3 linked regions of the Notamacropus eugenii genome follow. The protein of the gene in region 2 purifies or fractionates together with the protein of the main gene of each other region. This does not show direct contact. Links are inferred from orthologs where the notes say so. Each region holds a gene or a part of one and is shown on either strand. Other genes may lie near its edges.

The links.
Region 1: the proteins of ZZZ3 (region 2) and TADA3 purify together in Homo sapiens (affinity purification with mass spectrometry; 4 studies listed by BioGRID and IntAct, counting the BioPlex papers as one, with this or other methods). This does not show direct contact. The link is inferred for Notamacropus eugenii from reciprocal best matches to the Homo sapiens genes ZZZ3 and TADA3.
Region 3: the proteins of ZZZ3 (region 2) and WDR5 purify together in Homo sapiens (affinity purification with mass spectrometry; 5 studies listed by BioGRID and IntAct, counting the BioPlex papers as one, with this or other methods). This does not show direct contact. The link is inferred for Notamacropus eugenii from reciprocal best matches to the Homo sapiens genes ZZZ3 and WDR5.

Annotation. Positions count from the first base shown.
Region 1 is NC_092874.1:435,648,234-435,658,342, reverse strand, and holds the start of TADA3 (transcriptional adapter 3), read right to left. Parts: upstream 4,831-10,109; 5' UTR 4,692-4,830; exon of another isoform or gene 4,690-4,691; intron 1,308-4,689; 5' UTR 1,286-1,307; coding exon 1,079-1,285; intron 691-1,078; coding exon 440-690; intron 281-439; coding exon 133-280; intron 1-132. Other genes in the region: ARPC4 (actin-related protein 2/3 complex subunit 4), read left to right, coding at 5,297-5,299, 6,207-6,325, 7,691-7,802, 9,166-9,261. UniProt on the Homo sapiens protein: Functions as a component of the PCAF complex. The PCAF complex is capable of efficiently acetylating histones in a nucleosomal context. The PCAF complex could be considered as the human version of the yeast SAGA complex.
Region 2 is NC_092873.1:538,892,827-538,902,935, reverse strand, and holds the start of ZZZ3 (ZZ-type zinc finger-containing protein 3), read left to right. Parts: upstream 1-3,428; 5' UTR 3,429-3,572; intron 3,573-3,869; exon of another isoform or gene 3,870-4,211; intron 4,212-10,109.
Region 3 is NC_092872.1:486,765,717-486,775,825, forward strand, and holds the start of WDR5 (WD repeat-containing protein 5), read left to right. Parts: upstream 1-3,578; 5' UTR 3,579-3,707; intron 3,708-6,689; 5' UTR 6,690-6,787; coding exon 6,788-6,868; intron 6,869-7,348; coding exon 7,349-7,457; intron 7,458-9,448; coding exon 9,449-9,522; intron 9,523-9,933; coding exon 9,934-10,023; intron 10,024-10,109.

The sequences.
Region 1 (10,109 bases), on a different chromosome or scaffold from region 2:
ACCTTTTTTGCAGTTTTTCCTTCCTTATTCAATGTGTTTCAGAAGCAGAGCCTGAGGTAGTCTAAGTCTCCAAATAAGACACTCCCTGCCCAAAACAGGGTGCGACATGGGGCGGTGCTCAGAAGGGTCTACCTTGTAATGCTCAGCCTCATCTTCTGGGGGCTTCAGCAGCTCTTCCAGCGTTCGTACTTCCTCACTGGTGATGTCAGCACAGTACGGCTCCACGGAAGCCCAGAACCTGGGAGCAGAGCCTGGCCCTGAGCACAGACAGTCCCCTCGCCTATTATCAGCCACTGAATTAAGTGCCTGCTAGATGGGTGTTCCCATTCTACATGCTTATCACAGAGAACAATGACAACCCCCAGGAGATCAGCATCCCCCCTGGAGTCCCTCCCAATTCCTGATAACCCATTCCCCTTGACTTCTCCCAGCCCTGCACCTGTTAGGAGCGTCATTCTTGGGAATCCGAGGCACATCAATGGGGTCATCTGTGAACTCATATTCCTGGATCTTGGGCTGGAGGTTCTTGGATTTGGGCCGACCAGGCCCAGGCCCAGGCCCATGACCTGCCTTTCCTTCCAGCTTCTGTTTTTTGGGCTTGCCATGTTTTGCAGGGGCTCCCAGTTCATGGTCCCGGCCCAGCTTCAGGAATCGCCGGTCACCTTTCTTATCCTGCCAGTCAGTCAGAATCTGAAAGACAGACAGAGGGTTACTGAAGGAAAGAAGGGAGCCACTTTCACCCAAAAAAAAGATGGAGCCTGAGGGACATAAGCCCTCAAGAAATGGGCTGGTGGTTGCCTCTATAACTCAAATATTCATCCAGGCAGCCTTCCCAGGCTATGGATGATACCTTGCTGCAACAGCACTTCCTTCCCCAGCACTCAGGGTCACACATGGCCTGCCTCCCAAGTATAAGCTTCCTTTGTCTTCTCTTAACTCTTCCAAGTACCCACACCCTAGCACGGACATGACGACTCCTGCCTATTCCATTCCAGCTTGGCCTCACTACCCAATCTGTGCTCCCCTCCCTTCTTCCACCCTGTCACTAGGGCAGGGACCAGTCAAAGGAAGAAGTCACCTGGGTCTCAGCCTCCAACACCCGAAGACGTCGGCTGGCTGAAGAAAGCAGGTTCTCCAGCTCCAGCTGCAGGGTGTCAAGCTCCTCAATGCCAATGCCATCATCTTCTGAGCGGGCCAGCACCGCTGTGTATCGGGGACATACCTTCAAGTGGTCAACTGACTTGAAGTCATGGAACTGCAGCGGGCAGTCCTTTAGCTCACTCATGGCGTTTGGGTGCTCTACAGGGCTGGAGAGGAAGACAGTCAACTGACAAGAACAGGGAGGCGGTGTGGCACAAGAGGACCTCTTTGGGGAGGGGATGGTCCTGGGACAGCCTTAACTTGCAATGGAAACAGGAATTCTCCCCACTTCTAAGATGTCCCTGCTCTCTCTCATTCAACCTCTTCTGCTAATTTGACCCCAATTCCACTCCTGCCTACCCTGATCCCCAGTCATGTCTCCTACCAGGCTCCTGTCCTCATTCTTCCTGTTTCACAACTTGTTTTTCCCTCCCATGACCCCTGAACTTCTGCCTTCTTCCCTTTCCTTTTCTTTTTCATTCTTCTTTTTCCTCATTTAAGTCAATAAGCCTTCATTAAGCATCTGCTACATACCAGGCACTGTGCTGGGTACCATGAATACAAAGGTAAAAAGAAAATAGTTTTTGCCCTTGAGGAATTTATAAGCTATTGAGGAGAAATTTGTATATGTATAAATGTATGCCCATGGATGTATATGCACATATATGTATATAGATGTACATATATGTGCAAATAAATCCTAAAAATATGCCAAATAAATACAAATTAATTTGGGGGACAGAGCCAATAACAACTGGGGGAAAATGATATAGGCTTTTTGTAGGAGTCAGCATTTAAACTGAATCTTGAGGATCCTGGGGACAGCCTTTGTAAAGACACAGAGACAAAATGGTGAGTGCTGGCAAGAGTGAGTGGGCAAGGAGGGCCAGTTTGGTGGCAGGCAGAGTGCTAGAGGAAGAAGAAAGAACCTGAAGTCATGATGTGGAGGAATTCAAAGGCCAAACAGAGGAGTTGTCCTCTGTCCTAGAGGCAACAGGGAGCCACAGAAGGGCATGGGAGTAAATACAAAAGGACACATTTGAGAAATGCTATGGAAGCAAAATCGCCAAGACTTGGCAACTGGTTGAATACGAGATATGAGACAACGAGCCCCACCTGGCTGATCGGAAGGACAGTGGGGTTTGTGCTAATCTGTTTCACCTCAGGAAGATGAAGCTGACTCCCAGATACAAAAGGGAGAGGCAGCATGGCCTAATGGCGAGAATACTCACCAGATACAGGAAAGGCAGGAGGAGGGAGAGGTCTAAGGAAAAAGTTAAGAAGTTATGTTTTGGACATGTCGAGATTGCAGTGGCTATAGCATGTCCTGGAGATGTCTAGCACGCGACTAATGAGACAGATCTAACAAATGTGAGAGCTGGATTTCATAGGATCATAGACTGAGAGCTAGGAAGAACCTTAGATAACATGGAATCTGATCCTTCCCTCCCCACCCTCCGCTTTTCAAAGAAAACTAAAACAGAGAGAGGTTCAGTGAATTGTCAAGGATCCTACAACTAACGTCTAAGGGAAGAAATGAACTCAGATCCACCTGACTCCAGGTACAGTGAGTGCCTATCCACTATGCCATGCTACCCTTCAATGTGAGATTGGGAAGTCAGCTGCAACCTCCTGAGGTGAAACAATATGTGTACAGATAAATACAAAAATGCCCATAAAATAAATACAAAATAATTTGGAGGAGGGAGTGATTACAACTAGGGGAAATCAGGAAAAGTCTTTTCTAAGAGGTAAGAGAGATGACAGTTGAACTATGGGAGCTGCTATCACCAAGGAAAAACATGCAGAGAAGTGAACCTCAGTCACAGCCCTAGAGAATGCTCAGAGTTATAGGTGAGCTATGATGCTTCTGCACTCAGACCCAGTCCTCCTGACTGGTGAGTGAGTAAGTGCAACCTAGTCCACGTTGTTTCTAGTAACAGGCAATCAGATACCATTCAGCCTTCCATCTTGCCATCTGCCTGTCACCTTGCACCCTTCTTTCTTCAACTTTCTACCTTTGGCACAGTATTCAAACCAAGAGTGCCGTTGCCTCTGAAAAGGACAGGTCAACTGACTGCCCTATGTACAACAACTCACATCCCTGTGAATCCTCAGACCAAAGCTCTCTTCCCTAGTTTCCATGTTCATTAACTCCCCCAATTAGAATGTAAGTCTCCTGAGAGCAGGCACTGTCTTATATTTGTATCTCCAACGTGGTCATCATCTCCAGGCTAAGTACTGGACTTCCTCTACCAGGCCCCCAACCTAGAGCCTCTTTCCAGTCCAGGAACTCCCACTTTGGAAGTAGCCCGGGTCAGGAAGCCTCTTCCTCTGATTGGATGGCTCCCAACAGAACTCCTACTTAAGAAGGACTGCCTAGGTCAACAGTCTCATTTCTCCCCAGACTGCCCTGTGACTTTCCAAGGCATCTCCCTTGTCAGAGTGGAAGCTCCTACTGCACAGGGCTTTCCTTTGCACCAGCATTTGTATTACCCGCCCTTGCGCACAGTGCCTGGAAGTCACAACTGCTCAATAACAAAGATGTGTCTGTTGACTAGACAATGTGGTATGTGCTAGTATGTCTGTAATGAGTGGTCATTCAGTTGTTTAAAGGATGCTGAGGAGAGGTGGAACAAAGAAGGGACACAAAACCCAGCGGAAGAGAGCGCTGCACTGTCAACTGAGAGTGTCTAGAAGAATGAGGGCTGGAGAAGGGGCAGATGGAGTCAGGGTCCTGCTTCCTGCCATCCAATCTTGACCTTCCACATATTCCCTCTCCTAGACCTGCCCCTCCATCTTTCTCCAACACAGAATTAGGGGCATTCCTTTTACTGATCCTTTCCCTGCAGCCCCCAATGGCCCCTCGCCTCCACACCCCCTCCCCTCCCCTGCAGACTCCCAAGTCCCTTGCTCTATACATCCCTCCCCTCCCCTGCAGCCCCCCATGGCCCCTCACCTCCACGTCCCCTTCCCTTCCATACAGCACCCCCAATGGCCCCTCGCCTCCACACCCCCTCCCCTCCCCTGCAGACTCCCAAGTCCCTTGCTCTATACATCCCTCCCCTCCCCTGCAGCCCCCCATGGCCCCTCACCTCCACGTCCCCTTCCCTTCCATACAGCACCCCCATGGCCCCTCACCTCCACACCCCCTCCCCTCCCCTGCAGACTCCCAAGTCCCTTGCTCTATACATCCCTCCCCTCCCCTGCAGCCCCCCATGGCCCCTCACCTCCACGTCCCCTTCCCTTCCATACAGCACCCCCATGGCCCCTCACCTCCACACCCCCTCCCCTCCCCTGCAGACTCCCAAGTCCCTTGCTCTATACATCCCTCCCCTCCCCTGCAGCCCCCCATGGCCCCTCACCTCCACGTCCCCTCCCCTCCCCTCCCCTCCCCTCCCCTGCAGCCCCCCATGGGCCCTCCCCTCCACGCCCCCTCCCCCCTTCCCAAGCCATCCTCCCCTCCCCTCGCTTCCCTCAGCCCCACAGCCCCCGCCCCTCCTCACTCCCCGTGTCATCGCCCACTCCCCACGCCCCGGTCCCGCCTCCACCTTCACAGCCCGAGCTCTATCCGGATCCCACGAGGCGCTCGCTCGGCCGGCCTCGGTCCCTCGCGGGTGGAGGGGCCAGGTCCACGAGCTCAGGTAACTGCTGGCCCTGCAGGGACAGGCGGAGCCGCCCACTGCGGCCCGGGGGTGGTGCAAAGGGGCCGGGCCCACTCTCGGGCGAGGCTGGGGAGCCTAGGCGGCTCGGGCCTGGGCAGTAACAGACGACGGGCGGGCGGGGTCAGAACCGGAAGAGGCGGGGCCATCCCGTGTCTGGCCCTGTCCTAATATGGAGACAGAACGGCGAGCTGGGCTGTACCTTCTTGCTGAGGGAGGGGGAGAGAGGCGGGGGGTGCAGGGGTGACAGGGAAGGACAGACACGGCAGAGCTCCCCTCATCGTGTCAGGCCCTGAAGAAGGGTTTCCAGCGTCGGAGAGAAGGGGTTCCTGCGAGCTTCAGGGGAAGAGGAGAACAGCTGTCGTTGTTTCGCTCCAGCTCCCCCTGCCCTTGGAGCAGCGGTGGTAGCGCCCAGGCCCGGCTCCCGGAAGAGACGGCGCCCCGGAGCCAGTGCACTCCTGCACTTCCGCTTTCCGGCCTAACCAGCCCCAGCAATGGTGAGAATTGGGGGGCGTCCGCTGAGGATCCTCGGGGGGGCAAGGGGAGGGAGGCCACGCTGCGCTGGGGAGGGAGCCGAGGCTTCCCAGGGGCTAAGGAGGATCAGGGGACGGTGGGGGAGCCGAGGCAGGTCCACTGGGGAGGAGCCTGAGTGGGCCCCTGGGGCTGGGAGAGCTGCTGGGGCAAAGGCGCGGAGGGCGGATGAGGGACTTGGCAGAAGGGCACAGAGAGGATGAGGGGGCGTCCCGGGGGGTGGGGAGTAGAGGATCGAGGGCACGGGGGAGGAAGGGGAGGATGAGGAGGGGGGAAGCAGGGGCTGGGGGGATGCAGGGATGGATGAGTAGAGGGGCAAATGCGCGGAGGGCGGATGATAGAGCGAGACCCGAAGACTGAGAGGGATGGAGGAGGAGCAGGGAGGGGCAGCAAGAGCAAAAAGTGAAGAAGGGGAAGTGGGCAGGGGTGGGGCATGAAAAAACAGGGTTCGGAGATGGGGCACCGAGATTTGGATCCCAGCCCTGCACTGGACCAGGGCTGAGTGACCTTGACCGAGTCATTTTCCGCCTTAATTTCCTAATTTGGCGATGATGTCTATGCCACCCCCCCCTCCGGGCTACAATAAAAGTACTTGATTGGATTGTGTGAAGGGAGTTATTATGGAGAAATGAGAGGATGCCAAGGTGATCCAAAGAGGCATTTTGGGGAGGAGTTGGGGGTGGGGCATGAAGGGCACAGGTGGAGTTTGCCAGCCCCCATGTCTGGTCCCCTGGGGGAAGGGGCAACCGGGGCCGCCAAGCTGAGGGTGCTGTCTGGTTCCTGTTAACACCAGTAATAGGAAAAACGAAATGCATGTTTCTTGGAGCAGGGGTGGGGGGCACCCAGCTCTGATTCCTTTTCTGTTTCCTATAGACTGCCACTCTCCGCCCCTACCTTAGTGCCGTTCGGGCCACACTGCAGGCTGCGCTTTGCCTGGAGAATTTCTCCTCCCAAGTTGTGGAGAGGCACAACAAGCCAGAGGTAGAAGTCAGGTAGGAAAGAAGCAGAGCATGGGGGCCTTGCTTATTGGGACTGAAGGGCAACCCCAGGACCAAGGTGTCGGTGAAAACTGCAGAGCTGTTTCTGCAGCACTGCATCCCAGAATGGTGCATATGGGCAAAGAATCCTGTGGGGATGATTTCAGGCGATTTACACATCTCTGAGTTATCACTTCCTCTTTTTTTTTTTTTTTTACCATAAGGACTGAGGGAGGATATAGTGAGTGACATGAGCTGAAAGAAATTTTGGTGATAAGTGCAAAAATCATTCTGGATCAATAATTAAAGAACTTGGGCTATTTTTTTTTTCGTTAATCTACTTGTATAGTTGATCTCTATAGTTCCTGGGGTTTGGGTTTTTTTGGATGTATTTTTTTCCCCAAAATTTATTGATTTATTTTCAGTTTTCAACAATCACTTCCATAACTTCCAAATTTTCTCCCCCTTCTTCACCAAGACAGCGTGCAATCTTATGAGTTCCATACGTACACTCCTATTAAACACACTTCATATTAATCATGTTGCGTAGAAGAATTAAAACAAATGGGAGAAACCATAAGAAAAACAAAATGTAACAAAGGAGAAAATAATTTGCTTCATTCTGCGTTCCAACTCCGTAGTTCTTTCTCTTGATGTGGATGGCATTTTGCATCATGAGTCCTTTGGGAATGTTTTAGGTTTTTGCTTTGCTGTGAAGGACTAAGTCTATCGTAAACAGCTGTGGAGCACTGTGGCTATTACTGTGTATAATGTTGTCCTGGCTCTGCTCTCTTCGCTCAGCATCAGTCCATCATATAAGTCCTTCCAGGCCTTTCTGAAGTCTTCCTGTTCATCATTTCTTAATAGCACAATAGTATTCCATTACATTCTTATACTACATCTTGTTCTGCCATTCCCCAGTTGATGGGCATCTCCTCTATTTCTAGTTCTTGGCCACCACAAACAGAGCTACTATAAATATTTTGGTCCTTTTCCCATTTTTATGATCTTTTTGGGATACAGTCCTAGAAGCAATATTGCTGGGGCAAAGGGGATGCACATTTTTATAGCCCTTTGGGCATAGTTCCAAATTACTCTTCAGAATGGTTGGATCAGCTCATGGCTCTACCAACAATGCATTAGTGTTCCAACTCTCCCACATCTTCTCCAATGTTTATCATTTTTCTGTCTTGTCATGTTAGTTTATCGAAGGTGTGATATGGTATTTGGTTCCTGTTTTGAATCATCTGTGCAGTTAGCTAGATTGTGTCTGCCACCTTGTGCTTTTATCTTAGTTGGTGATTTTAGGTCCTGTTGTGTAGGGTCTTCTGGACTTCTCTTCATCCATTGACAGTGGAATCTTTGATGTTGCATTTATAGGAGTAGTAAAGAACTCCTGTTACAACCTGTGACCATCAGCAGGAATGAGAAGGAAAAGGTTCTGATCGAGGGTTCCATCAACTCTGTTAGAGTCAGCATTGCTGTAAAACAGGTTAGTTTAACACTTGAGGATTGCTTAAAACTGGAAACTGGATGTTAGAAATTTTGCATGACACTGAGGACTTAGGGTCCTGAGATCCCTAGATGTGGGATTGTTGAGGAAAGAGCTTAATGAAATGAAACAGTGAAACAATATTTTCTGGGACCTCACTGCTTTAGGAAGGTGAGCAGTGTGGAGACAAAATAGATTCTATCATGAATAAGTATCAAATCGAATCTTTTCAAGTTGTTACCTTTTGCAGACTATGATGGACAGAGCCCCAATAGTAGAGTCAGAGCTGCATGTGAATCTGTCCTGCCTCTCAGGAGCTTTGTGAACTTGGGCAGGTCACAAAGGTTATGTTTCTGTGAGCCTCAGTTTCCCCATACACAAAATGAAGATAATGGACTACCTACTTCACAGGGTTCTCAAGAGGACCAAATGAAATAGTTGAACATGGTTTATAAACATAAGATGATATGTAAATATATGTTTACTTCTAACGATAACACAAATTCAGATATATTTTAGCTGCATGATACAAAAGTAACAAGATTGATGCAGTTCTCTTTCCTATTTTCTGAGGCTAGGCCTTTTGACTTTTTTGGTGGAATGAGAGAGGAATACTAGGTGGTGCAGTGGATAGACTGGGCCTGGAGTCAGGAAGTCTCATTTTCCTGAATTCAAATCTGCCTTTAGACACTTACTAGCTATGTGATCATGGGCAAGTCACTTAACCCTGTTTGCTCAGTTTCTCATCTGTAAAAATGAAGTGGAGAAAGAAATGGCAGACCACTTCAATATCTTTGCTAGGAAAATCTCAAATGGAGTCACCAAGTGTCAGATATGACGAAAATGACCAGACAACAAAAACTACATACATACTTCATCCAGAAAAAGGAGATAGAACTAGTTCCCAGGAATGGAAATAGGTCATCTTAATTAACTTTTATTGCACCACGGGTCTCTTGGGCAGTCTAGTGAAGCTCATAGACCCCTTCTCAGAATGTGTTTTTAAATGCTTAAAATACTGAGGATTACAACAGAAGCCAATTATCTCAAAATACAGATATGAAAAATATTAGAACAGGTTCACAGACCCCAGGCTAGGAATCCCTGTGTTCATGTAATGTTCTTAAGTTGGGGAGGACCTTCCCTGATATGCTTAACTCTCCTCATTCTTGAAGGTTAGTTTTTTTCCTTTTGGTTTCCAGAAGCCTGGGTTGAAGGACATGGCAAGGCAATGGTCTCAGAATGGACAGACAGCCTCTGTATGGTAGCATTGTGGGGAAACAGTTGGGTGTGAGAGACTGAGGACCAGACCATTGATTGTGCTGGCTTTGTGGAAACTTGGATTTTTTATTGGTCTCTGCAGGCTGATGAGATTGAGAAGATCCTTTGCCACAAATTCATGCGCTTCATGATGATGAGAGCGGAGAACTTCTTCATCTTGCGGAGGAAGCCTGTGGAGGTGAGCTAGAGACCTGGATCTGAAGTACTTAACCAGGGAGAGTAGCTGTAATTGGTGTGTCCTGGGTTCAGAACTTGGGTAGCTTAATAACTGCTGGCCTGGGTAGATGGGTCCCTCTGATCTTCCTGACTCAAAATGTGTTTCTCTTTTTTCTTAATTTGCTCATTTGTCCATCTGTCTCCATGACAGGTGAGAATTCCCAGTGGTATAGGAACAGTGTGTGGGATAGCATTTCATGCCTTCCAAGATTATTGCTGGATTGATGATTGTCCCTGATACCTCCATCTTGGCTTACTCAGGGCCAGAGACCACCATCTTGAACTCTTCCTCCAGGCAGTAGTCAGTGAATTTTCTTTCTTTGGCTGAGAAGGAAAGGCATCAGAGGCTTAGGAGAAGCCATACCGTCAGCTTAAGGAGGAATGAGACAAGCATAAGACAACAGTTCCACTCTTAAGAGTGCCTAATCTAGTTAGGGAAATGTCATAGTTTTTATTATGCTTCATGCAATACTGTGCTTCCCAAACTTATTTGTCCTAGTACCCCCCTTTTTTTAAAAAATACTCAGTGCTGCTACCCCCACCAATCATTTCAGTGCCCCCCAGGGGGAGTTACTGCCCACTTTGGGAACCTATACACTATTTCATTGGATCTTCACAACATTTTGAGGTATTCATTTCCCCATTTTACAATTTAGGAAATTGAGGCTTTGAGGGGCTTGCCCCAAAGCACTCAGCTGGCTAGTAACAGGCTGATTTGAGGCCTTAACCTTGTGGCATTCTCACTTGGGTCTAGCATTCAGTCTAATCATGGCAGCACTGCCACTAAGGAGGTTTTGCATTTTCAGATCT
Region 2 (10,109 bases):
TCTGCTGCAAAGCTGAAGGAGACAACCACAGGGGGCCTGAGCTCCAAGACTCCTGCTTCTGTCTCACTTTGGGTTAACACCTTGGCCTTTGAGAGGCCTTCATCTAGTGCCATTAGTAAATCAACTTGAACATCTTCTGGAAACAAAAGGGGAAATTTATTAAGTGCCTACTATGTGCCAGGCACCGTGCTAAGTGCTTCACAACAACTTGGAGAGGTAGGTGCTGTCATGGTCTCCATTTTTTAGCTGTTCAGTTGTTTCAGTCACGACCCCTTTTGGGGCTTTCTTGCCAGAGATCCTGGAGTAGTTTGCCATTTCCCTCTCCAGCTCATTTTACAGATGAGGAAACTGAGGCAAACAGGGTGAAGTGATTTACCAGGAGTCACCCAGCTCGAACACCAGCTCCAGTGCTCTGTGCCTGTGGGCCTGCCTAGGTAGGGGCCTCATAAGGAATTGGCCTTTTGTGACTCCACGTCCAGGTTCTGTGCACTGCTGTGTCCCCTTCCTGACTCCAGGTTCTGTGTTGTGTGCACCATGGCGCCCCCTTGAGGCCTCAAATTAGTCTTTCCTGACTCCGGGTCCTGGATGCCCAAGTCCCTGTAACGGAGGTACCAGTGTACAAAACTATCCTTTGTCTGTGAATGGGACCATATCAGTTCCATCTCTGTTCTTCTCTCATATTTTATTTTATCTTATTTTTGCATGACAGTCACTCCCAGCAACCCTCCCCTCTGCCCAGTGAGACTGCGAGTAACAGTTGGTTCAATACCTGTGACCCAGCATCTCTCTAGTTAAAGGACAGAAGAGTTTTCCACCCATAGTTTTCTGGAGTCAATATTAGACACTGCAGATAATCTGAATCCTGCCCATGTTGCTTTCATTCATGTTCCTGCAGTCATTGGGTTCTGCTTTATTGATTCTGACTCATTTCATGTAATTCTTCCCATGGCTCTTTCTCCAGATTCCTCATATCCCCAATTTTGCTCATTTCTTGCAGCATCATCCATTTATTGGAAGTTGTTAGGTCGAGCAGTGGGTGGAGTGCTGAGCCTGGATTCAATAATAATCCTAAAGGGTGCCTTGTAGTGTTTGGCACATAGTAGGCACTATATGTTAGCTATCACCATCATCATTATTAACATTATTATTTTCCCCCAGTCAGCTGGCCCCCTCTTTTCAAGGCCTTGCTGCTATCAAGGAGCAAATACTAGGACTATTTGAGTATGGGTGGATCCTTGATTTCCAGCACCTGCTTCCCTGGGGTATATGGAATGATGGCTCAGACATGAAGAGCTGAATCACTTTTCTCTAGACTGCTTGGACCAGATCCCAACTCCACCTTCAGTGCATTAGTTCACTTGTGGACTCTTCAACATTTGCTATTTCGGGGATTTTTTATCCTTCCCAATTGGATCTGTATATAGTGACCATGTAGGGTTATTGTACTTTGTGGTTTTTTTTTTTTTATTAGTGATTTGTAGTATTGTCCATCTCTTTTGATCCCATAGTGATTTAGGAATTCAATTCAAGATTCATTGAACCTGAACTGAGAACAGGTTCATGATAGGGCCTGGGGCTATGGAGACAAGGAACAATACTTATCTTCAAGAAGCTTACCTTCGGCTGGAGAAAACTCTGTAAATGCCACCCCCACCTCCCGACATACACTGGAAATACAAATGGCTTCTTTTTTGGAGGCGGGGGGAGGGAGCATCAACACTTAGACAAAAATCATTAAACTTCTCACATAAGGAGCAGCATTAGGGGAAAGGGGGGTGGTGCCCCAGAGAATGAAGGTGAGAACTGAGAGCATTCCAGACCCCATGGCAAGTTGGCCTATCAGATCATAAACAATTAGGAAGCACCTCCTATGTGTCAAGCACTGTGCTTTTTACATTCCAATGCAATTCTTAATAAAATTTCCCCACCAGACCACTAGTAAAATTCTAGCGTCAGTGATTTTACTGGTGGCAAAATCTTTTTAATTTTCTGCACCTCAAATTCACAATTTTTTTTTTTACTTTTTTGCTGGCTTTTCTCCTGTTTGGGTAAGAATTCTTCCCTACCCTCTGGTCTAAAAGGGAACACTGAATCCTTTCCATGTTCCCAGTTCTGCTGAATAGACAACTGTTCCCATGGACATTCAGTAACCCTCTCAACTAAGCAAAATATGAGAAAACATTTCAACTTGGCAGTAATTTTTTTTAGTAGTATTAAAGACACCTACCCACATCTCCACTTACTCACATGCCTGAAAAAAAACAAACTTCCAAACATCCAATACAAATCCCAGCGACACAGTGCTCGGCTACTTTGGGAAGGCTCCATTTCTGGAATCCTTGATTGGCTTTGGGGAGGGTGTGTTTGAATTTGTTCCTAGCGTAAGGCGCTGATCTTCGGTTTTAGGGAACGAGTTCTCAAGCTGGGGGATATTAATTCGTTTTTTAAAAAATTCTGTTAACTGTTCCTTACTGTCAATGATTTCCTTTATAATCCAAAGTATTTTATTTTATGCATTTAAACAACATTCTGAAGAGAGGACCAGGGGCTTCACCAACCAGCCTGTCGGGGAGAGGGGGGGCGGGATGTGAGCCCTGCTCTGGGTCCTGGGCATAGAGGCTGGGCCCACTCGTAGTACCTGCTGTCAAAGCAATACTGCGGAGTCCGGCCCCCAGTAAAGTAGACCCATTTGTGCGGTGTTTGGGCCAACTTGCTGGTCTGCAAAGCTCAGTTCGGAGGTTCTTCTGGGTTCTAAAGGCAGCGGTGCGGGTGCCGGGCTCGCGGGGCCGGAGCTGTCCACCGAGGCAGAGGCTGCTCCAGCTCTCCAGGTGATTACAAAGTAGCTGACAGGGAGGAAATGAGCGAGCCTGGGAAGTTACTTTGTATCTATTTCCCAGGCTGTTTCCCAGGTGACAGCGGCCAAGCTCTTCTCGGGGATCTTAAGCGATCGGAGGGGGAGCTGTTTTCATCCTGGGCAGGCATTTGAAAGGTGTTCTGGACCCAGTGCTACGAGGTGCTCTCTAAATGCCCTGCGGTAGAACGTAAGCTGCCCGAGGGGGGGTGAGGGCTCTTTTCTTTGGCATCCCCAATGCCAAAGTCACTTAATTTAAGGATAGGACTGAGTCTCTACCTGTGATTTTCATGGTCTTGGCAACAGCGCCGGGAACACAGCGGGCGCCTACTAAGATCTAGCCGACTGGACCCGCAGCGACAGCTGCTTCCCGTTATTATCATGATTATAAATTATTATGACCGCCATTATTAATCAGGTGAGGCTGGCGGGGAGGGCCGGGATTCGAACCCGCGGAGCCAGGAGGGGGGAAGGGAAAAGAGAAGAGGGGGGAGGAGGAGGAGAAGGGAGGGGCCGGAAGAAGGCGAGGGGGCGGCCGCGGGAAGTGGCAGAAGCGGGAGGCGGGCCCACTTGGAAGCGCCGCCGGGCGGGCGGGCGGGCTGGCGCACAGGGGCCGCGGGGAGGCGGCCGGCCGAGCTTCCGGGGGCGGCGGGGGTGGCCTCCCTCTCGGCCACGGGCCGCCCGCCGGCCGCTCTCTCCGGTCGGCTCGGCGGCGCCCGAGGTGAGCCCCGGGGCCGCTGGGGGCACGTGGCGGGCGGGGGAGTGCGAGGAAGGGAGGGGGAGGGGCTGCGGGACTCGGATTCTGCGGCGCGTTGGATCCCGGGAGGGGAGGGCGGAGGAGAGTGAAGAGGGGAGGGGGCCACGGCTGTGAGTGGCGATGCCCCCACGTGGGGCGGGGTGCGCGCGCACAAGCTTGCGCCGCCGCCGCCGCGCTCGGGGGCGGGGCGCCGGGCGCGCTCTCGGAGCTGGCTGGGCTGCGGCCCACGTGACACGCACGCGGGTCGCTGACGCTCACGTGACCGGTCTGGAGCCCGGTCGGTTTGACGTGAAACTTGGGGGTTGAAGTTCTCCTAAGCCTCCGCGCGGCCGAGTCGCGCGCATCCTGCCCCACTTCCCTCCCCAGACCCCGGCCGCGCGGCCCAGCCCCCGTCGCTGCCTCCCCCGTGGCGAGCAGTTCCCGTTCCGAAGACGTGCTCAGGAGGCCATGTTGGCCCCGACCCGGCCTCGCGAGACTCCCCGGGACTAGGCGGCCTCGCGAGACTGCGCGGCTCTCGCGGGAGGGGGCCGGCCGAAAGTGGGGCCCGGGACGGCGGCGCTGTTGGGGCTCCCGGGTCGGGGGAGCCTAGACTGCTCGGAGCAGGCAAGTGGCCGGGGTGCGGGTGGGGCCCTGGGCACGGCGACACCTCCCCGAGGGACTCCCCGCCCCCGCGGCGCCCTTTACCTGCGAGGGGGGGTAGCTCCTCCCACGTGCCCAGGAGCGCCAGTGGGCGCGGGTCCGAGGGGCTGCCTGCCTTTAGGTGGCGCCTGCTGGGTGCTGAGGTTGCCGGGGGCCGCGCGTGTCATGCCCTCGGAGTGTTGTCACCGCGTCCGGATGGAGAAACGGAGGCAGGCGGTCCGTCAGGGTCTGGGCCGGGAGCGCGTTTGGGTGCCCGTCGCCTGGGCGCGCTGGCAGGGCTGGCACGTGTTGGAGAAGGAACTTTTTCAAATTGGGGAACGCCCCGTGTTTGGGGTCCGCGCCCAGACCAATGGGACCTTGCCTTCTTTCATCCAGAAATGTAAGGTGAGGCCGCAGCTCCTCCTCATCCCTAGCCCTGCCCCCTGCCAACTGGCCCGGATCTGGTCTAGGGTGGGCACCCAGCTAACCAGGGAGACCCGATCCTGAGCCATAGATCCACCTCAGGAGTCTCTCGATCACTTTCAATTTGGCAACTCCTAATCATTTCTAAAGTGAAGAGCCGTTTCAAATGGTCTAATCCAATGTGGCTATTTGGGAATTTTAGGAAGTCTCAAGCTAGCCTGGCCTCCCCTCCCTTCTTCTTTCCTTTGTCTTTACATGTGTCTGAAGAATACAGTTCTTTTGTGGCTTGAAGCTTGCCCTTTCGGAGGAGAGCATGAATCTGTCTAGAAGCTTTTGAGTTCATCAGGTTCTTTAAAGTTGTTGGAAAAGTTGTAAAGTGTTGGCTGTATGTGTGTTCACCTGTGTAGGGACGTAGAACTATAGTTCTTAGCCATCATCGTGTCGTGAGTGCTCTTTTGGGAGGTTCCTCCCGAGTGGATATGCTTTTCTGAGACTTTGTATCCCAGACTGACATCTGAGGAAAGATAAGAGGTGTGGGAAACGTTGTAGAAACATTGGCCCCCGGTTACAGAGTAACTTAGGGATGGCGGCAGAGAGTAGAAGAGTCTGGTGGGAATTTGGAGGTGTGATTTCTGAAGCTGACTCGGCTTACCAGAAGAGATCCAGCTTCAGAAACCAAAATTAGAATATGCATGAGGTGATTTTTCTCCTTTTTTCCTAATGTTATAGAGATTTGTTTGCAAAAACTCCCCAACACTTCTGCAAAAAGTGACTAACTTGAGAGTTGTCCAAGTTTCGTGTAGGTTGTGTCCTGAAGCTGAACTTTTTTTTTTTTTAGAGACAATGCTAAATGTGAAACTTAGTTATAGATTAGCTTCTGGGAATGCCATTCAACCTTAATAGGCTTCCTCTGGTCTAGATGGACATGTATTTCACACCCTGTCAGAACTCTTTCAAGAAACATGCTCCTTTCCTTCAGAAGCTTTGCTTAGACATAATGCTGTTGGCTCAGGAGGAAGAATTTAGCCTGCTAAAGGTCACTGACTTCTTTTAGCAGAGTTATTTAAAAAAGATTATTTTTTTAAGTGTACTGTTGGAAGGGAAGGAGGAGCAGTGTGGTTTGTCTGGATTGAATTTCCATTGCTGTTTCCTATTGAAAGGACGCTTGGTGACTTGAAAAGATCGCTTGCTAGGCTGGACATTTATCTTACTGAGTTCTCCTGGGTCATTTTTCCAGAAGTTTTAAACCTCTTGGACTGGAAGACAAAGAACTGTATAAAAGTGGATAATCTGTATGGACTCTGTCCTGTTTTCTCCCCAGACTGAAAGCTGTGGTCATCGTTTTCCCTGATCTTCTACTTATGTCACTGCTACCAGCCAGTAGGTGAGGATCCTGCACTCTTCTCTAGGGCTTGCAGAGGTAGAGGGGGTTATGGTATCTTAGGGTTTAGAGGTAGAAGGAACCTCTGAGATGACTCCATTTATTCCAACCATGCATTTTTTGTTTGCAGAAACTGAGGCCTGGTGACTTATCCAAGGTCATAAAGTAACCGAGCCAGATTCTAGCCAGCTTTCTTGACTCCAGTGCTGTTTTTGTTATGGAAAGAATGAAGATTTTCTCTCCTCTTGTGAGCTTGAAGGAATTGGTCTCTTCTTACCTCTAAAGTTTGGAGGTGGCTGCTTGTAGGTGGTTCATTGCCACTCTCAGGGTCTCTGGATGTCACCTCTGTAGGAGGAGTGGAGGGAGACTAGCAGGGCTGGTTCAGTGCAGGTGTGAGACTCGAATTTAATCTGGTCGCCTTCCTTGCCAGGAAGTTAACCACTTGTGAAAATGTTTTCCAAAGAAGTTGAAAAAAGTGGGACTCAGCAGAATTAAAATGAATGTATTACTTCCTCAGCCTTAGAGTCAGGCAGCTGACTTAGAGAGGGTTTAACTCCCAGTGTCACAAGTATTACAGAAGTGATGGGTAGCTGGAAACCCAAGGACCTGTGCTGTGGTTCTCTTGTAAAAGATGCTCACTTGTCTTGAGTTTGATTTCCTATTGTAAGTGCTTACATATTCAGAGGTATTTTGTACTTTTTAAAGAGAATTTTAAAAAATTCTAACCACTTTTTTCTTGAAGTCAAATGAACCAGCTTTTATTAAGTACCTACTATGTGCCAGGCACTGAACTTAAGTGCTTCAGACACAAAGAAAGACAAAATAAGTCCGTTCTCAAGGAGTTCACAGTCTCATGGGTAAGAACGTACAAACAGCCACATACAAACAAGACAGACACACATGATCAATTGGAGATCATCTCAGAGGGAAGGCACAGAGATTAAGGAGGGCTGGCAGTGGTTTCTTGGAGAAGGCAGAGACTCAGGAAGCCAGGACAGGTTGCTGGGAGAGGGAACTCCAGTTCTGGGTCCCTCACCCTGAGGTCTTAGAAACCTCAGTGACTCTCAGAGCCCAGCCTGAGCGTGCTCTTCCACCCTTGAAATGACCTTTTACATATTTTGTATGAAAATGGCTGATGGACCTCTCCCTTGGCATTGGGCATGTCGTGCTGGAGTTGTTCTCTTGTTGGAGGAGCAGCCAGGAGGCAAGTGGCAGAGTATGTGGAAGGGGCAAGGCAGAGGCTTTTGTCTTTGATCTTGGAGGTGATGGGAGCCACTGGAGTTTATTGAGTGAGGGGGGAGGGTGACAGGGTCAGGCCTGTGCTTCATGGAAAACGGACTGGATCGGGGAGAGACTTTTTGACTTTTTGCCTGCTTGAGGCAGCTCTGTGGCCCTGTGACCTGGAGTCAAGGACACTTGAGCTTAAATCTGGCCTCTGACCTGGGCCTTAGTTTCCTCATCTGTAAAATGAGGATAATAAAAAATCACCTGCCTCCCAGGATTGATGTAAGGATTAAATGAGAGCTGTATAAAGCATGTAGCACAGTGTCTGTATATAAGAGGTCCTTTCCCCTTCCCTACTGAAGAAAGTCCAGAGGTGAGGTGATGTCGTTGTCAAAGGAGAGGTGGAATTCACACGGTTTGACCACTGGTGGCTGTGGGAGATGAATAAAGCATTTTCTAAATGCTTTGTGCAAAGAATTGTGCTAAGAATATAAATAGAAAAGTCAGGTCCTGCTTTCCAGGAGTGAGAATTCACATGTGGGAGCTACCACATAGGGAAGGTTTTAGCTGCAAATCAGGTTGGTTCTTAGAGTGCAGTGGCAAAGTGGGCATTGGTGCTGTATCTTTAATGCCATCTCTGGTGTTGGTCAGGGTCAGGGACTTTCTTTTCTGGGTCTGTATATCTGTGGCTATTGCACTTGTGGGAGCAGTTTGCTGGGCTGAGTCTCCACAGGGGTGGCATTCTTCAGATGACGGCTGTGGGTACTGGGCTGGAAGCCTTGCTCTTCTACAGGCTTCAGGGTCTTAGGAGGGATGATGGCCAGGATGATTGAGAGTGATTAGGGTACCTTCCTGCTTCATCTAAGCTGGTTTGCCTGCCCTGTGGGTAGCAGTTGAGAATGGTGACTGTCAGGGGTTGCCACTTCCAGGGTGCTGGGTAAATAGTGATGGTGAAGGAAGTGGGGTGATAGTGGTACTCTCCACAGTGATAGAGAAGTTAGGAAAGGGGGGAGATCTTACAGGGAAGGGGACTGAGCTCATTTTGGAAATGCTGAGTTTGAGGTATCTGAGATGTTTGGGTAAAGATAACTAACAGACTTTTGGAGGTCAGGAGGGAGGTTCAGGCCCATGGAATTATCAGAAGAGAGAAGAAAATTCAATCCAGGGGAACTGTTGATCGCTGAAGCAAAGAAGGTCCAGGTCAGAGCTGTGGGGGACACGCAGGACTAGTTTTTGAGTGTGACTCCATGATGGAGTGTGCAGAGCAGCAGAAGCACCAGAGAGAGCATTGTCAGGAAAACCAGAGGGAAGAGGAGACGGGGGATGAGGAATGCCGATGCAAGAGATGCTCTTGTCCTTCCTCATTAAATGGAGTATCTGAACCAGGGTGGGTGCAAGTCTGCACATTGCTGGGGGGGGGGCTGGGTTGAGAGGCTTGCATTGTAGCATCCCTTGAGGTGTTTGAAGAGGGGATTTGCTGGGAAGTCCAGAAGGGGAAGTGTGCACGGGTCAGGGCCAGCATTTACCTTCATGAGGGGGCTTCTCCCCTTCACCAGTGAGTAGTCATGTATTCTTGGCAGCCTCTATTTCCTCTAGTAGAGTGGAGGCTCCTTGAGCACAGAGACTTTTTTTATTTTTTGTTTTTAACTTCGGAGCTATGTACTTTTTTTTTTGAGTAGACATATGAATTTATAAAAGCATCATTAGTCAGGGACACACTGTGGCCTTACAGTGTCGTACAACAGTTGATGTGGAAATAACTGTATTATCTTGGTTAATCACTTAATCTAGCGATCACGACTTGCTCATCTCTGAAATAAGGATTGGACTAGCTGAAAGCTAAGCTCCCTCTGCTAGATTATGGTCATCAGAACCCAGAACTAAGAATAGGTTATTTTCAGGGAAGTCTGGGAAGGATACAATAACATTTTAGACCATCATTAAAGAACAAAATGTTTGAGTTTCTACTGCTGAAGAATAACTTTCCACTGTCATCTGGAAAATTCGTTTCTGTCAAACCACTTCATTGAACGATGCCAGAGAAATAAGTTACAGCTGAAATATGTGGGAAATCTTTGTTTCTTTTGCTAGTTACCTGCTATATATGAGGAATAAATGAGACTATGCATCCTCTGAAATTTGGTGGCTGTGATTCTTCCTGAATTTGTGCAGGAACGCTTCCCCTCTCAAGAGACCCTTTAATAGCTCAGGATGATGGGGCCCAATTCACCTTCAGACACATTTCCTTCTGTCTGTCCCTCTTAGTCTTGCTCTCTGGATTCAAACATCCCTATTTGGTATGAGAATCCATTACCTCTTGTTTGTATGTTGACTGTTCAACTTTTCTCTCTTTTATTGTGTTCTACTGAATGAAAATGAAGTGTACACAGATAAATCACTTCTTGGTGTGAAGAGAATGCTAACCTTGGGGTATTGGGAAGGGCTGCTTGGAGGAGGGGCTGCTTGAGTTGGGCCTGGAAGGGAGCCAGGGATACCAAGAGCTGGGAGTGAATGATGAGGGATGGCATTCCAGGCCTGTGTGATGATCTGGCCAAAGGTGAGGAGGCAGATGTAGGGCCCAGCGGTCAGTTGGGCTGGAATGGAGAGTGTGGGAAGATAAAAAGCAGAGCTGAACCAGGTGGGGAAGGGGCACTTTATGGGCTTCTAGGATCCCTAGCCAATGAGATCAGAGTTGTAGAAAGTGTCTAGCACAGTGCCCAGTAGGTGCTGTATGAGTGCACAGTGCCTGGTGCCCAGTAGGTGCTGTATAAGTGCTGATTCCCTTTCCCAGAGCACTCTTGGAGCTTCTTGAGGGGAATGACAGACTTTTGCTTGTTAGGCAGCTTGTGTGAGCT
Region 3 (10,109 bases), on a different chromosome or scaffold from region 2:
ATGATATAAATTAAGCGACAAAGCCAGGATCAAAATCCACATTCCCAGCTGTGTTTTTTCCACTCTGCCATACTGCCTTTCCTAATTTAAATTTCAAATAATAACTTGGGAGAATATAAATTTCCAGAAATGCTCAGGAATACTCATTTGATGCTGTGATCAGAAGGGTTGTGTGGTTACCTAAAGTCAAATTCAACGTATCCAAAATAAAACTGATTATCTTTTCCCCTATCGCTAAATTTTGCCCCTCCTCCAAATTTCCATCTTCTTCTGAGGGTTCCACCATCTTTCCAGTCACCCAGATTTGTAATTTGAAGCAATAACTGACTCTTCCTTCTCTTTCATTCCCAACCCTTTAATATACAACCAGTTCCCAAGACTTGTAGATTCTACATCCATTAATGTCTCTCATATGCATCCTCTTCAATCTGGCACCGCACCTTAATTCAGGCCTCTTGATTAGAGTATTATAATAGCCTAATTGATCTCACTATATCCAGTCTCTCATGGTACAGTAGAAATAACTTTTTTGGGAAATCAGCCATATATTTAACTTGTTCCACCTTAGCCAAGTCATTTTACTTCTCTGGACCTCAGTTTCTTTATCTGAAAAATGAACAGGTAGATTAGATGATCTCTGAGGTTTCTCCTAGCTATAAACCTATGGTCTTTTCTAATCTATTGACCACATACCTACCAATCTAAACTTGCTAAGATACAGGTATGATGATGTCATTTCTCCACTCAAAAACTTTTAGTGGCTCCCCATTTTTTAAAGAGGACTATTCACTAAATGAGTGTTACCTTATTCTAAGTGAGTACCTGAAAAAGCCTTAGCCTAAAGAGGCCAAGGTCTCCCATTGCATCCTGGGTGGTCTCCAGTCATCCTGATGAATATCTGGTCACTGGATTCAGATGGCTATGGAGGAGAAGTGAGGCTGGTGACCTGCACAGCCCTCCCTCCCTCAAATCAAAGTCAAGTGCAAGTCATGTCATCATTCCCTTGATGCCATGGTCCTCTTTGAAAATGAAAGACAAACATAATAACCACCCCAGGATAAGATATGAACTGCTCAGACTGGTAATCAATGCCTTCTACAATCTGGCTCCCATCTACTTGTCCTGCTTTATTTCTTATTCCGTAATAAACTCTATGTTCTAGTCAAACTACCTAATCTCTGAACTTGGCATTTTATTTCTGACCTCAATGCCTTCTGACAGGCCAGTTCTTTTCTTCTCCCTTCCCACACCTCACAGTTGCAATAATAGTTATAATGATAGTATATATACATATGTATATAAATCCATTAATTTTTCCAAAGCAATTTCTTCACATCAACCCTATAAGTAGGAAGCATTATTACCCTAATTTTACAGATGAGGAAACTGAGGCACAGGAATTGTCTTGCCCAGGGTTTCAGAGCTGGAAACTTAAATTATCACCTCATTCCTAGTACAATGTTTTCTCCACTATATTATGAAGTTCACCCGTCCCTTATTTCTATTTTTCAGAAGATACATATATAGACGTACTTATACAAACAAATGTGTATGTATATATGCGTGCATATGTGTATGTGTATATATGTTCTAAATTTTTTACATTATTAACATTTAAAACTGCACTAAGACTCTTGGGATATTCTGAAAAAATGCACAAGTATATGAAATCACACATAACATACCTGTATATACGTGCCATTATGTATCTAATGTATAGGAAATTACAGACGTAGCTGTGCATTGTGAAAATGTATAGGAAATAGGCACAGAAAATTAAACATGTATGTGTATGTATATAATTCTACACCTAGATATTGTTGACCTGAAAACTTGGTTAAAGAAAAGGCAACAGGCTAAATGCATACATTTTATGATTTAATTAATTAATTAATCAATTCCCTATTAAAGACAACAGTAACATAATGCATTATGGAGCCAGAAATGTTCTGGCTACCTAGTGCAGAAATCTTCTGGCTTATATACATTTTGCTGTGAGAAAGGAACTCTCCTAGTTGAACAAATTATAAATTTAGTAAGACAAGACAATTAACAAAGTAATGTTGGTCAGGCCTTGTGATTCCAGGCTGGGTAAACATATGTCCCGGTGACAAGGAAGGAAATCCTACCACTAGTGAGTGGCAGGCTTCCTGCCCTAAACAGATAACTGACATAGGAAAGGGTAAACAAAGTTTAATAGAAATTACGACCTAAGATGTCTATATTTTCTTTACCATTAATATGCCATAACATAGTGTATGTCTATAGATAATAAGATATAAAGGAAAGTCCCATTATTCAAGATAGTGTCTTAGGTTAAAGGTCTCCTAAGGAATGTAGAGTCAGCCTTGGCTGGCTTTGTTGACATAGGAAGAGGCACCCTCTGAGTTTGCTTCAGAGAGAACAAAGAGATTATTCCAAAATTTTATATTAAACATTATCAATATACACACTCATATGTGTATACACACACACACACACAAATACAATTTCCCATGCTGTGTGTGTTTGTTGGGTCTCCTAAAAGTCTTAGTGAAGTTTTAAGGTTTCAGAATGTTGTGTGTGTTCGTCCTTCCTTGCTGGAGAAGACCATGCCACCAGAGACATGATGACATGACTTGCCCTTGACTTGTGTTGAGTGAGGGAGGGAGGGCTGTGAGGTCACCAGCCTCACCTCTCCTCCAGAGCCATGTGGATCCAGTGACAGATATTCCTCAGGAGGACTGGAGATGGCCCGGGATGCCCTGGGAGACCTGGGCCTATGCAGGCACTCACTTAGAGTGAAGGAATGCCCATTCAGTGAACAGGCCTCTTTAAGAAGGAATCAGGGCACGGCCCCTTTAATGAGGCAAAGAAAAAGAAGTACATCAGCTGGGAGGGAAACGGCAACAGTTACCACTGATAATCACTCTTAAGGCGGGAGGGTCTGGAAAACAGCCCTTATGGGGAGCCTGGGCCGGGGCCTGCTGGGTGCGATCTATGGGCGTCTGAGGGAAAGGAAAGAGAAGGTTTAGCTATGTAAACACTCTGGAAGGACCCAACTCTCGCTCCTCCCGCCCTCTGCCTCCTGGCCCCCTCCCCCCGCTCCCCAGGCCGTCCGTCCGTCTGTCTTTTTCTCGGTCTCTCTTTTCGCCCTTCCCCCTCTCTCGTCTGTGTCTCGGTGTCTCCGTCTCTCGTGGGTCCCTCTGTTCTCCCTCTCTGTCTGTCTGTCTCATCAGTCGCGTACCCCTCCTGCCCAGAGGATCTCTAAGGTCCCAACAAGTCCCTTCTCTCCGAACTTCGTTTTGCTCATCTGTAAAAGGAGGGGTTTGGATTAGGGGACGTCTTCCCCACTCTGCCATAAAGGGGCAGCGAGAAACGCCAGTAAATCCTTTAAGGAGTTTGAGTTACTGACAATTTCGGCCTTCGCGGCTTGCCGTAGCCCATCTCGGAAACAGCCTGGTATTGTGTCCTTACCCCCTCCTCCTCCCTCTCTCGGTCCTTCGCTCCGCCCCTGCGCTCGCCCCCGCCCTGTCGCCGCGCATGCGCCCGGGGAGCTGCCACTCCACATTACCCGCCTGGCGCCGGGAGGAGGAGCCTGCGCTGCCGCTGCCACCTCCACTTGGTCCCGGCGGGCGCCTGGTCGTCCGTCCTCGCCCGGGTCGGGCCGCGCTGCGCTCCTCATGAGCGGTGGCGGCTGTTGAGGCTTCGCCCCGAGCGGAGGTGAGGTAAGCGGGCGGAGGGCGGCGTCCGTCTGCGTGTCCGACCCCGGCCTGGAGCTGGGCCTGCGAGCCGGGAGGAACGGCCGCGCCCGGACCCCGGACCCCGGTCGCTTGCCAGAGCGCGGGGGACGGGCCTGCGCCGCCAGGGCCGCCTGCTCGCCAGCCCGGGGTGCGCCCCCTTTCTCCGAGGAGAATCTGGCCCCCTCCGGGCCCCCAGTGCCCCTCACCCGCATGCAGCCTGCGGGGCCCCCTCGCCCTGGTGTCCGCGTTCTCCTCACCTCCCCCCCTCCGGCTAACCACCGACGCTCTCTCCGTTTCCCCCACCCCATCATTCCTAAGCGTGGACCTCGTTTGTTCCCCATTCCTCCTCCCCAGAAGGACAGGCCCCAGTTCTACCCTGCCCTTCTTCAGCTGTCCCCCAGTCTTCCCAAAAATACCTTGGCAGCGACCAAGGCGGTGCCCCCCATTCCTCAGACTCCTTCCCCGTGCCTTCTTCAGGCTGGCCAAGCCCCAAAGCTGCAGTAGTTGCCTCTGCTCTTCCTCCCCTACTCCTCCAACACCTTTAGGAATAGCTTTCCATGAATTGGGAGTGTACCTCCAGTTACCTCCTTCCCCATTTCTCATAGCTGCACTAGCTCCTCGGGACTGCACTCAGCATCCACCTGCACCCCTTTTTCCAGGTCAGTAGGGACAGATCACTTTCACCTAATAATACAGTCACACTGTCCCCTACTCCTCTAAAAAGCCCAAAAAACTCCCCTTTGAAACACCTGGATTTGGATTCAGGATGCTTCATTATACAGTGAAATCCCCGTTTTTACCCTTTCTTTACCCCATCTAGAAACATCTGGGCTTGGACTCAGAAGGAATGCACTAGCTCTGTTACCTGTTTTATCTCTAGTGCACCCTAACCTCTAAGCAGCCAAACCCCAAGTGTTTTCCCTCATATCCCCTTATCACATATAAGAAAAATGGATCCTGAAACGACCAGGTGACGCTTAAGAGGGTGGCATTCCCTTTTTTTTCAATAACTACCCTTTCAGTTGTTCCTTTTCCCCCATTCCACTCTTTTACTCACACAGCCTGGCCTTAGCCTAACTCATTCTGCTTCCTCTCCCCTAAAAACTCTGAACCATTAGTTGTGAATAGAGAACAGGATTTCCTTTTCTTCAGTGATCCCCTCATGGTATCAGCCATGGCCCACTTCCCTGCCCCTCATCCCCTGACTCAAAACCCTTAATTTTGAGTCAGACTGTAGGATGGGCTTCTCCTATTTTCAGGGATCTCCGCCTTTCTAATTGCACATTTTCCTTGTCCAGCCAATCACACTTTTCTCTTAGCCACATCCTCGGAATGACCCCTTCTCTCCCTGGGGCTGGGGCTATATCTTTCACTGAAGGAGGTAGGTTTTTGTCTTTACCCAGAGCCTTTCACCTGAGCTTAGCTCATGCATTTGGGGGCAGAGGGAGAGCTCTTCTCATTTCTTCAGCCAGTAGTCCTCTGGTGTGTTCCTGGTCAGAGTTCCTGGCTTGGTCTTCTCCCTACTCAAATATTTCACTATTTTTTTGAAGTGGTTAGGCCATCTACTAAATGTTATTTTCTTGCTTTTCATTTCTTTGATGCCATTCTCTTTTCCTTTCCTTCTGATTTCAAAAGACTTAAACTTTGCCGGGTCCTGACCACCAGATCCCCTAAACCTTTCCTAGATATATACTAGGGGTTAGGGTTGCTAATTAAAACCTGGGATTTGTATGAGGGAAAAAAAACAGGCCTGATACCTGTGTGTTTTTTGGTCTGCCAGAAGACTTGTAAAGTGAGTGCTTATGATGTAATCCCTCTCTCCCACCTCCATCCTTCTCTTTTCAATGATTCTTTGGCCAATGTTAGTATTATTTATAATGACTTGTTTCCCCTTAGAGCAACCAGAAGTTCTGGTAAGACATTTTAAATTAAATTAGAATTCTCCCTAAATTAAATGAAGAAATTACAATGTCTAGTCTAGTGATTTTTAAGGTTTTCTGATGGAAAAAATAGGAAGTTTCAAAAATAGACATTTACCTCTTCTCATTCAACTGGTACGTGCTTGATGTAAGGCAAGTAATGGAAGTTAGTGTTGAGGCTACATCCAGAACTACTGATCTAAGAGGCAGGTGAAATAATTACTTACAGTACAGATTTTCAATACTTCCCATTGTCAAGCTGAAATCTAATTGAGCTGCAGTAGAGATTTTTTTTCATCTGCAGTATGAGTCTTGGTTGCAGAGTATCAGTGCAGCATTTCAAGCTTTGCTACAGAAGGCAAGGCAGTTGAAATTCCAACACAAAGCTGACTTTGGCTTGCACTTTTCGGCTCTGTTTCCTGGTTGTCTCATAAGCAAATGAGCTTCTCAGCTCACTAGGGAAACAGAAAACATCCTTATGCCTATAGTATGGAAACTGTAGCAGTCCATAACAACCATAAGGCTTCAAAAGTACCCTGGGCTTGTATTTTAGTGTATCTGCTTAATGTGTTCCACATGATTTGTGTCTTGGAATCTGGGTAACTTCTGAAACTGCTGTATCCTGCTGGGATTTAGTTTTCCTGTCAGTCTTATGAATTTAAAAACAAAACAAAAAATTCTTTAAAAATAATCTTTAAAGAAATAACTAGATCTTGGCTATTCCCAACAGCATTTTTAGGATTTTGAATAACAATGGAAAATGCCTCCATAATTTGGAATATTACTGTATATGGAATGCAAAGATAGTTCAAAGGTAGCTTGGTTATGAACAATAAACTAAAAGGTAGGAACCGGAAGTTTAGGATTACTATATTCTTTCTCTAAATTTATTTCAGTTATAAATTTATCCTCAACCTGAGAAGTTTTTGTGTGATAGGCTTCAGTATTATGGCTAAATGTTTATTATTAACTTTTTCTGGATATTGCTATGTTAAATGAGATATCCTTTTAATAATGGTTGTCCCTCTACTTCCTGTTCCCCTTACAGGTTCAAATTACTGAACACAGGTTTTCTTTTCATTATTGAAGCATTCTGGTTGATCATCCCTTCAAGCACCCTCAATCTGACTTGCTAGTTTCAGAACCATGGCAACTGAAGAAAAGAAACCAGAGGCAGAAGCCACCAAAACACAATCTACACCTTCCTCATCAACCAATCAGAGCAAGGTGTGTTCTAAAAGATCTGATGTCCTTTTAGGTGAAATTAAGCATGTAAAGACTTATATTGAAGTAAGGTTAATCCAAAGGTGGGTGTGTTAGAGCTAAACTCTGAGCAGCTGAGCCAACTGCTACATTTTCATGTGAGCGTTTATACCTTGGAAATCTGGTTAATGCTATAAATCTGGGCTTACTGTAATTGTTTTGTTGATTATATAGACAAAGTGATAGGGAAAATGTTAATAATAGAGACTAAACTTAAAAGTGTGTCATGTACACATTTTTTTCTCAGAGAGCAGGTTATTAAACATTTACCAGCACAGTGGGGTTGATCTCTTGGCCCCTTACTATATTGTTGAAAATTGTTGTTTCTCTTTTTCCACCTAAGTAAAATGCTATCAATAATACTTTTTCACCCATTCTAACTTTGTAAAGATCTGAGTAGGATGACTGTGATCACTTTCTGATATTTAATTTTATTCTTTCTAGCCCGCACCTGTAAAGCCAAACTACGCATTAAAGTTCACACTAGCAGGACACACTAAAGCTGTATCTTCGGTAAAATTTAGTCCAAATGGAGAATGGTTAGCAAGTTCTTGTAAGTAATCTCAAATATGTAATGTCACTACCTAATTTGGTTGTTGAGAAAATTGAGGCTGGGGTTTCAGTCCTTGAGATACTGCTGATTTAGCAACCCTTCCATATTAAATTGTTCTTGTCAGTATTGCTGACAGTTGAGTTGAAGGAACCTCAGGTTAATTTGACCTACTCATATCTGAATAGGAACTCTATAAAATAGCTATAGTTATTGTTCATCTAGCTCCCATTTAAAATAACCTTTGTGAGGGAGAATCCACTTTGTTCTGAGAAAATTCTCTCCTCTTTTGGCTAGCTCCAGTTGTTAGGAAATTTGTTCTTTATATAGAGAGTAAGTTTGTTTTTCTGAAACTCTGAACTCTTGTCTCTAGTTCTACCCTATGGAACCAAAGAGAACAAGTTTTGATCTCTTTCATATGATAATTCTTAAATCATCTTAGGATACTATATCTGGAGCTTTCCAGGGATCTTGTAGGCCATATAATCCAAGTCCTTATGGGACAGAGACTTGTACAAGGTCATAAGTAATGTCAAAGTTATACATCACCCTCCAGGTCTTAAGTTGAGCATCTTAAGTTGAATTCAGTTACTCCAGTGACATAATTTAAGGTGCATTTAAGAAAAAATGTATACAGATGTGGATACAGAGCTTCATATAGAGTCTTCTTATGTTTTACTTCTGGTTTCTTCCTTTGTTTTATGCATTAAAGCAGCGTAGTGTCCAGGCTAAGATGGCATTCTAAATTTAGACCCAGGTAATGCTTCAGTATGTGAAAGTAACTGTCTTCTTGAAACTATCAGAAGAGCTTACACTTTGGCAGGCCTGACCCAGTTAGTTGGGAAAATTTTAAATATAGTCCTTAAGGCCTATCTGAGAATCAACTTAGCTAAGGCCAGAAGGCTGACCACTAGGTGATTTAGCCATAGCAACTCATGAGTACCATCCAGTAAAGCAAAGAATGATTTCTGTTTGCCTTGGATCAGTGCCCAGATCAACGAAATTTTAGCTCCCCAAAGTAAGATTGAATTAACCTTTTTCAATTGCTATATTTTACTGGCTCATGTAAGTAAAACTTAGTCCCCCCAAAATTCCCCTATCTCTGAAATGAATTTTTGCATAGCCATATCTTCATCCTTTAGTTTTGTAGTTCTGTTTTTTTTTTCACTCAAGTATACAACTAATTACAATTAAATTTAACTTTAATAGATTTAGACAGTTCTATTTTGTCAGATCTTTTTGCAGCCTGAATCTGTCGTTCAGTATATTAACTATCACTCCCAGCCTCAAACCCTTGACAGGCATGTCATCCTCATTCATTGATAAAAATGTTGAACAGTGCACTGGGGAATTCCATTTAGAGATCTCCCTCCAGGTTTACTTTAACCTAGTAAGAGCAACTCTTTTAAGTTTGGTTGTTCTTGACTCCTCTTGTTAACTAGATCACTCTGGTTAACAAGGGTGTTTTTAAAGTTACCCCTAAAAAAAATCATCAAATTAAGTCTTAGTTACATAAGGCAATGGAGACAGATAGGCATTTAAGTCCTTTTTGATTCATTTCATACTGGAGGTGTAAAGCAAAAGCTTTCTTCACATTGTGTGAAATGAAGAACTAAATCAGAGCATTGTATCCATCAGTTTTCCCCACAGTCTGTAGTCAGAAAACTCCCAGGGACACACCTACCTCATGACGTGGTATTATGTATTCACACTGAGAAATGCCACAGTTTTGTTCTTAACCTTGGTACTTCAGGTGCAGTTAGAAAAGGTCTCCTCAGTCTAATAAAGGGATAAATGTAATGACAAAGCAAACTTTTTGCTGTAGTCAGATCTTTTATCCTACTTGAGTATGGACTTTTCACCAGAAGTTGGAGGTGGGGAGAATAACCAATTGCTTACCTCACAAGGTAGTTCTTAGCATCAAATAGAGACCATGTGAAAGCCGAAGTTATTACCCATCTCTAATAGACTAACAATGAATTTTTGTCTTTTAGCTGCAGATAAACTCATTAAAATTTGGGGAGCATATGATGGAAAATTTGAGAAAACAATATCTGGGCACAAACTGGTAGGCCTTTTAAAAAAAATACCTCTTTGGAGTTTATTATAAAATATAAATTAATGTTGTATAGTGGAAGCTGAGGGGATAAGAGCATTTTAAAGGTGTGGCTCATTGGCTTCAGATTTGGGAATAAACTAAGGCATTGCTGTACTTTTTGTTTGTCATTTCTTGCAAATGGCAGGTCATTTCATGCCTGTTTCATCAGTAGTTGCTAACTTTCAACAAAGCAGCTAAATTGGGTGTCTTGGCAGTGCTTCATATTTCTAAGAATATAACTTCTTATGTATTATTAATGCATTAGCTAAGCCTTTTTCTGGCAATTAAGTGGCTAGTGCTTTTTTTTTTTTTTTTTAATATCTCTTGCCTGTTTCACCTGGGAATTAATCTACTTTTTTCCTTCCTTTTCTTTTTTTAAAGGGAATCTCAGATGTTGCCTGGTCCTCAGATTCCAATCTTCTTGTATCAGCTTCTGACGATAAAACGCTTAAGATATGGGATGTTAGCTCTGTAAGTAGTCAGATTCCCCCTTCACCCCAGACATTTATTGACTATGTATAATTGAGAGATGGACAAAGGATTTAATATTTGTAAAC